Linked DNA regions of Saccharomyces cerevisiae S288C. The protein of the gene in region 1 interacts with the protein of each later gene in a pairwise test. Each region holds a gene or a part of one and is shown on either strand. Other genes may lie near its edges. The genes, in order: FET5 and FTH1.

Region 1 (4,484 bases):
AAAATTGAAAAGTTCCCAAGGATCATACCCTTGATCATCCGGCAAATTAGTAAACCTAATATATCCCAAATACAAAAGTTCAATAACGTAACAATATTCCATATTATTATTCCCGATTGAAATTGATATATTCTACTGAATCTATCATTCATTATGCAGCAAATAAAACATCCCATGATACCACCCAGGGGGGTGGACCCCATGAGTAAACCTTGTTGTAAAGGAGTTGGATACTTGAAGTACTCATTAAACGTTTTGTTTGTGAGAAAAGTTGCCAATGACGGCACCTCAAGGCCCATTATAAATCCTACTAGTGTCAATATCGCCGTAATTTTCGTAACTTCATAAGTTTTTGTAATTTTGATTTTCGGCATCTTGGGAAGTCTCCAGACAATAGCTTTCATTGCTGTCATTGTGCTTAATAATTTTTAAAGTATAATGTTAGAAACTGTACTTGTTCTTTCTTTTTTCTCTTCTCATATTACACTTATTGAATATTTTGTTTTTTGATTTTCATCCTTTTTTTGTGACGTTCTTGGCTGAGCGTCACAACGTCAGAGCTAAAACAACGAAATAAAAGAGAAAAAAAAAGCAATAGATTTGATTACGTATGAATATTATATAGGGAATGGAATGAACAAAATGAAAATACTCAATAGTAAGCAGTATTTACAGTGCTACATTTTTTTTAGGATTGCAAATCATCAATATGAATATAAACTTCTTTCATTTTTCTTTTATATTTTCTTGTTTAATTAGCCGCGAGAAACCTCTATTTCATTTTCAGCCAAGATTTCCCTTAACGTGTGGTACACCTTCTCATCGTTAGGGATAACCTCGCCAATACCATACTGAGCAATGGAATATAGGCCCCAGACACCGATAATGGTTGAAATAATCAATGCCAAATATCCTTCAGTAGTAAATCCCTTTGGTAGTGGCTCAGGTTGTCTTGGTAATCCTTTTAAGTCAAACCAATCATTCGAATGACCTGCAGCATTACCAACTACCGGAATATCAGCGGCTTTGCATATATCCAGATAGTTCTCATTAAGCTTTTCCCTTTCCTGAAGTAAAACGGGTGCCTCAATAAAGACCGAAGCCAAACCTTGTTGTAAGTGCCAATCTACATGACAATGGAAATACCAGACACCAGGGTTGTCAGCTCTAAATCTCAGGACAACATGTCCACTAGGTTCAAGAACCACTGTATCTCTCACCATCGGCCTCTCAGGGAACGGTTGTAATGGCGCAGATTCGTTATAAGGGACGGTCATTTCATCTTGCTCAGATTCGTCATAAGCTTCATCAACATGGAACCCTGGCGACTTTTGGACTATTTGGAAATTATGACCGTGCAAATGGAATGGATGTCTGCCAGAATCATAATTGTTTAGAACAACCTCTATGATATCATTATGTTTCAATAACTGCGCATTGATATTATCACCATAAATTCTAGGATCTGACGCAAGCTTTCCTGAGGTAAGCAACGTTGTCAAAGTAGGCACCTTTGGTGTGACGTAAGTGATATTATTGAAAAATGCATACTTCACACCATCACCCAAGTTGACCATTCTTACATCCATGACAATTTGGTGGTCATAGTGAGCAAGTAGGTCTCTCTCAATCAGAGGTTCTAGGTAAAAGTCATTCGTGGCGCGGTCCAAGTCACAATCTTCAATGTTCAATGCGCGTGCCTCCGGCAACGAGTGGCCATACCTCATTTGGATAGTTTGGTTGAGTTGTAACTCAGGTGGGACAACATCAAGCATCGTCTCATCCATTATTTGCATCATAGCGTAGTTTCTTGTAGGCATTTTATCTTTAGCTTTAATCAACACACTCATTCTTTGCCCCGCAGAAAGATATATCGAATCAGTAAAGTTTGGCTTTACGTAAACACCGTCCACCTCTACTATACTCATTTCATGATCCTCAAGAATGATATACTGGGATACAAACAGCCCAACGTTCAAGAACCTGAAGAGATACGTTTCACCGGGTGTAAAATCTAAAGTTACATTCATCGTATTATTAAAAAGAATATTTTGAGGAATAGGTTCAGCACCGGTTGGATTATATCTTGACAGAAACTCTTTGGTAACCGTTTTATAATTTTCGTGATAATGGTCCGATAGAGTGATGACTCGTTCATGATCATATTCGAAGGGCTCCTCCGGATCGTGGATGATAAATGCACCCCTCATACCGTCACCGTACTGGGCACCCATGTGTGCATGGTACCAGAACGTTCCTACCTGCTCTGGGACAGTGAAGTTGTACAGGTATGTTTGTCCCGGAACGATGGGACATTGTGTCACCATAGAAGGACCATCCATTTGAAGCTGGTTCCCCAAACTCGTATTCTGGAAAAGACCATGGAAATGTAGAGAAGTAGCAGTATTGTCTTGAAAGCCGTTAGTCAAATAAAGCTCAACACGATCTCCTTTTTCAACATGGATATCTGGAAGTGGCCATTCGCCATTAAAACCAATCATCCTTTTTTCATGCAATCCATCAGGATTGGCAGTTACCCAAGAAGCGGTATAGTTTAACTTATGTGTCTTTGCCAAAGCAACACTAGCGGCCAGTACAGACCACACGAACGAGTAGAACAACATCGTTTCTTGTCTTCCTGTGCTTGATTCTTTCTTCTTTCATTCGGAACTCTTTTTTTACGTCTTCGTATTTTCTGTGATCTTATATAAAAATGTATGTATTATAAGAATCGATGGCGAAACAGGGTGCAGACTGAATACAAAAGCCACAAAGTAATAAAACAAGAATATTAAAAATATTTAGATACAGTTCGATAAATTCTATAAACACCTTACCTATCTTAGCTTGAGCAGCTTTTTTGAAAGGAAATCAACCAGTAGCCTATCGGTAATCAACTCATAGACATTAATACAATCCCTAGACATCAAATCAATGGCCAAGGAGTAGTCACCATCGTCATACTTGAATTTCACTTTATATGTAATCTCTCTGAAGGAATCTCGTTGGGAGGGTCCCCACATTTTCATTCGAGGGGTGGATATCAACCTACTTAACTGTTCCACCGTTCTTGACACATTTTAGCATATTCTCAACGCTCTTTTGAGTACCTGAGGACTCGAATCCATCAGGCTTCCTTTTTTTCTGATTATAGCAGTTCTTCATAGCGTTTATAAACTGTCCATTTTGCTCTTTCTTGGAATCATGTGTACTCATGAACACCAAACCCTCTGAGTACCGCACCCGCCAGCAGATCAATTGTTCCAGCACCTATAACTACAGCTTACTCCCCACACTTCAGCTAGGACGGCCTTACTACATGGAGAGCGACAAATAGTGGCATCTACAGAGGACTCTTGCTAGAAATTCACTGTAACGGTAATCAGTAAACGCAGTCGACGTTAACCACGAACTCTTGACAAAGGGTGCCGTCACGGTCAGTGATGCAGCAAATGGTATGTTGAGCTGCAAACTATAATGGCCTCACAGAAACTCTTTGGTAAACCTATTTGGGTATGAGGGCTATATGCTTACTGCATCACCCGCTTTACAGTAGTTTGAGATACTTCAATTTCAAGAACAGCACCGTTGGATTCGTGGCCCAAAGTCATGGGCTTCCCAGGTTACTTTACGCTGACCTGGCCATCCGTGTAGTAGTGAATGTCTGATCCGCAGATTCCAATAGCCTTCACTTAAACTTTGACCTGTGACATCACGTTGGCTTGGCAACTTTCTGAATCTCTTTCATGTTTGGTTCAAAACATTTGATAGCTTTCTGCATTGTGTTGAGTGGAGGTCAGAAGGTCAGATATTACCAATTACCGTCATCCTCAATGTCACTCATGATAGAATGTTTGCTTTATGTCTGAGATCAGAGAGATCGCGTATCGCTGAGCAGGGGGACTTGTTTCTCCCACCCTTTTTCATAAAGCATCTTGACAATTATATTAAAACACTCAACCATTTCGCTATCTGAGAAAAGGGTGAAGAAGGCAACTACACAAAAAGATTAGTGGTGATGTCGGATGTAGATAACTGGGAACCCGTATCAGATAATGAGGACAGTACTGATTCTGTGAAACAATTGGGTCCCCCCTTTGAGCATGCAAGTAACAATGACAATGCCGGCGATACTGAAGCTGAGTCACTGCAAGAAGTGCCCCTAAATACAGAGACCAACGACGTACGCAAGAATTTAGTAGTGATTACAAACCAAAGTGCCGCCGATGAACACCCTACAGAGATCAAGCACGATCAATCAAGGACTTCTTCGACGTCCTCGTTCTTCAGTGGAATGATCTCTTCGTTTAAGTCAAACGTGCCATCCCCAGTTTCTAGATCAACTACGCCAACTTCGCCAGTTTCGCAACCAAGCATTATATCACATAGAAGGGAGCCTTCCATGGGGTCCAAAAGAAGATCAAGCCGCCGTATCAGTAATGCCACAATTGCTGAAATAGGCTCTCCCTTGCAACAGGTGGAAA
Region 2 (4,137 bases), on another chromosome or scaffold:
ATACTTGAGATGGATCAACGCAAACAAAGATTCCATCACAGCATTCCAGGAGGGCCAGCTTGGTGAAAGAGCAGAGGAATTTGCCAAATTGATTCAAAATGCAAACTCTGAACTAAAAGAAAGTGTCACAGTCAAACCTGACGAGGAAGAAGACTTCCCAGAAGGTGCAGAAATTGTATATTCTGAGTATTCTGGGCGTTTTTGGAAATCCATAGCATCTGTTGGAGATGTTATTGAAGCAGGTCAAGGGCTACTAATTATTGAAGCCATGAAAGCGGAAATGATTATATCCGCTCCTAAATCGGGTAAGATTATCAAGATTTGCCATGGCAATGGTGATATGGTTGATTCTGGTGACATAGTGGCCGTCATAGAGACATTGGCATGAATTACCTTTTGTTGGCATCTAAAATCAAAGGAGCACTCATTTAGTCTTTATAGCATGCCTTTTTCTAGCTATTTTTAATGACGAATATATATGTACATAGTATTTACTGTAAAATGTATGAAAAGAAGCTTAAAATTATTACGTGTGTTTGTTATGTTCTCAATTTGCTGAACCACTGCTATCAATTATTAGGGGCACAGAACTATCTTTGGACCGTCTTTGACTGTCTGGCTCTGATGTGCTAGAGTTGAGTTCAGAAGTATGATGTTTGAGATCGAGCGATGCCTTGGCAATGCTTAATCTTTTCATAATACGTTTCTTTTGCCAGCTAATAGGTAGATATGGGATATATCCGTATTTTTCTTCTATCATTAGCAGTTTCAAAGCGCATATTAATACCAACCAGTAGGCGTTGTAGCTAATTACAGAGCCGACGGTAGCACTATTCGTCCAACCAAAAATGGCAGTAAAAATCATCCAACCTCCATCTTTTTCACCATTGCAACAATTAACATGCCAAACAGAACGAGATATGTCGTACGAACCGGGTCCATTTCCTACTTCACTCATGTCTTGACCGTTACATTTGTTGACGTAGTCTTGCAATTCAAGTTGCCATACACCTTTGGAAAACAAACCAGCCGCGATCAAGTAGAGGAAGCAGGTGGCGACTACAAGGCATATCTTAAGTGAAAGAGAACTTGAGTACCTGAAGAAAAAAATACCGAACACCGTACTGATTGCAGTAGCAAGGACCATAGAGAGGGGAATCGAGGATAGTGGTTGGTCAATACCGATACCTCCAATGAATACAACAGCTTCTAACCCTTCTCTCAAAGTCGTTATAAATGGTAATATGAAGAAGGAGTACTTTTCACTGAATTTCACACCTTTTTGGGTTTTGTTTCCCAGCAAATTATTGTCCTTTGAATAAATGATAGAAGCTAATTTCACTCTGAACTTCTCTCTTAACTTCCCCATTCTTAAAAAAAACAACCCCATGACAGAAATAATAACGGACGCGACAAGACTTAAGACACCTTCATAATAATGTTCACTCAGTGTCCATAAGTCGGTTCCAATATGATAAAAGATACTAACAAACGCACCCCCGATTAACATACACAGCAACAAACCAAATGCGCCGCCCGCTAGAATTTGTATTTTTAATTTCTGATATAGCTTAACGTTGTCAGCCGTATGTTCATCGGACTCGCGGTCCTGGTCTCTAAGCTCATTAGAGTACTCGTAAATTTCTTCTTCTTCCTCCACATTTAGCGGCCTCGATTTATTATTAGCAGCCGTAGCGGACGTTCCAATAGCATTACCGTCTGAAGGCCCTGCTTGTAAGAAGGCAGTGGTCGAATCTGCGTTTGTGTTCGTATTTGGACTTGGAAGACCAGCAGAAGAGGAACTTCCTTCAAACGGGCTGTCGTCCTCAACAGACAGACCTTGTTTGACGATCGTCAACAGGATAGAAACAATGACAACAATTTCTAAGGATTCCCTTAAGAAAATGAAGAATATCTGGAAAGAAAAATAATCCTCAAACGCCATGGTGACTAGAAATATGAACACCACTCTAGTTCTCTATTCTTAGAGTTTTTTCGCTTTTCTGTAGAGGACAAAAGTTCAGTAAGATGCTTGATTCTTTATAATATCAAGTTTGTGTTTTTGTAGGCTGGTTTAGATACAATTTTGCTTTTCTCTCTTCATCTCCGGCCGCACCGCACCCATTTTTGAACCCAAGAAGGCACTAGAATAAAGTGAGGTGGCTACTACATTGAATTATGTGTATATAGATAGATACATGTTGACGTTTTAGCACCTGTTTTGACGGAGCAGGCGCTATTTGTAGTTTGGTTTTTAAATTCCTGGTGGAAGCTTGTAATTTCCTGCTGAAAAGTACTTTCTAGTACAGAAGTAGTCAGGAGTCCAGGTGACGTCCTTGCTAGGTTCGCAGATACACTTGTTTTGTAGTCTAATCTTCTGTTCGATAGGACAAGAGGTGAAATCTGGATGATGGAATCCAAGACCGTCAAAGAAATGGATTTCTGACTTGTCCAAGAACAAAGAGGCAGCGATGGAGTGCACTGGCGCATCCCCCCATCTTTCGTAGAAGAATCCACCAGAACTGTCTAAGTAATCAAAGTATTCTCTGTATGCATCGGACCTGAAGAAGTCTAAAGAGCCGATTTCGAAGTTGGTCCAGAAATGACACATATTATAAGTGTCACCATCATCATTCGAAATGAATTTCATGAGGTTATTTTTGTGTAAGAATTTAGGATTTTTCTTGATGAATTTCTTTGTCGTTTCCCACAAGGTTGGGATTGTGCGCTCATATTCACTTACCGAAAGAATGAATCCATATTTCTTGTTATTTACTTTTAAAAACTTGAATATGTCATACTGAATATCACAGAATAAAGTGATATCGGTATCCACTCTCCAAAACCATTCGTACTCCTCCAGTAGTGGGTGTCTCCATATGAACCCTGACTGGAAACGGCACATGTGACGGTAAGGCACGGAACTACCATATGGAATATCCAATTTTCCCATTGCAAGCCTTTTCTCATCGAATTTTTCAGTATCGATCCAAGATGGAATGGACCAATGGTCCTTTGGGATTGTCCCATATTTTGCCTTGCCTGAAACCAATGCACTGGTAACACGTTTAAACTCATCACTAAATGGTTGGTCATTCAAGAACACCCAATCGTAGTGATATCTGTTATTGAACCTGTCTTCAACATGTCTAATAGATTTTACCAAGTTCCATAAATCTGAATTCCTGGCCAATGTGACCATAACACCCTTTTCCTTCTTTCCATCGTCCACGGGATGGATTACTCCTTGTGACTTGTCAGTAAACGGCATCAAATAATCCTTACTGGCTACACGACTGACACTGGTGCCCTGAGCTATTGGTACCTCTGGGGACCTTGAGCCACTCATGAAAAATAAAAAGGATAACACTATGATGAGCCCAATGAATGATGATCTGATTCCCTTTTGGTATTTTCTAATCAGCAATGCCGATTTGGGCATTAGCTTCTTTTTGTGGTGCACAGACATAATTGCACGCTGGATATTGATAGTGTTGTTGTCCGCAGACGAGGCCTGACCTTCTTTATGCAAATTTTAACCATCAGTTACGTTGTTTTCTTCGAAAAGTTTCAAGAGGACGCGCCATTCTTTTAACCCGGCAATTTTAAAGGGTTCATTAATAAAGAACTACCAAGATGGTACAGTCGCATTTGGATCGTAACTCAACGTTAGAAGAAAGCCTTAAACCGAGAACTTTTTCTCTTGGTAATGAATATGGCAGAACGTGCAGAAGCAACAAAAAGTTGGTCCTGTGAGCCCCTTTCTGGAAAGACGCTAGAAGAGATTGTTCAAAATGCAGAAAATGCAGCTGATTTGGTAGCTTACATTCGCAAACCAGAGGTAGATTTGGACTTTAGGTTGAAGTTTATCGCAGAACATGAGGAGTTTTTTAATGTACAACTATCGGATCGAAATTCAAGAATAAGGACGTGTCACAACTTGAGCGATAAAGGGATACGGGGTGATACTGTTTTCGTCTTCGTGCCTGGGTTGGCTGGCAACTTAGAACAATTTGAACCCTTACTCGAGCTTGTGGACTCTGATCAAAAGGCATTTTTGACGTTAGATCTGCCCGGCTTTGGTCATAGTTCAGAATGGAGCGACTACCCCATGCTGAAAGTGGTGGAACTTATTTT

Evidence for each region.
Region 2: the proteins of FET5 (region 1) and FTH1 interact in binary tests that used the Saccharomyces cerevisiae proteins (3 or more experiments, as listed by UniProt).

What each region holds. Positions count from the first base shown.
Region 1 is NC_001138.5:47,279-51,762, reverse strand, and holds FET5 (ferroxidase FET5), read right to left. Parts: upstream 2,625-4,484; coding exon 756-2,624; downstream 1-755. Other genes in the region: YFL040W (uncharacterized protein), read right to left, coding at 1-413; YFL041W-A (uncharacterized protein), read right to left, coding at 2,838-3,029; LAM5 (Lam5p), read left to right, coding at 4,019-4,484. UniProt on the Saccharomyces cerevisiae protein: Iron transport multicopper oxidase, which is required for Fe(2+) high affinity uptake. May be required to oxidize Fe(2+) and release it from the transporter. Essential component of copper-dependent iron transport.
Region 2 is NC_001134.8:632,954-637,090, reverse strand, and holds FTH1 (Fth1p), read right to left. Parts: upstream 1,946-4,137; coding exon 548-1,945; downstream 1-547. Other genes in the region: DUR12 (bifunctional urea carboxylase/allophanate hydrolase), read left to right, coding at 1-388; mannosyltransferase KTR3, read right to left, coding at 2,255-3,469; LDH1 (triacylglycerol lipase), read left to right, coding at 3,710-4,137. UniProt on the Saccharomyces cerevisiae protein: High affinity iron transporter probably involved in transport of intravacuolar stores of iron.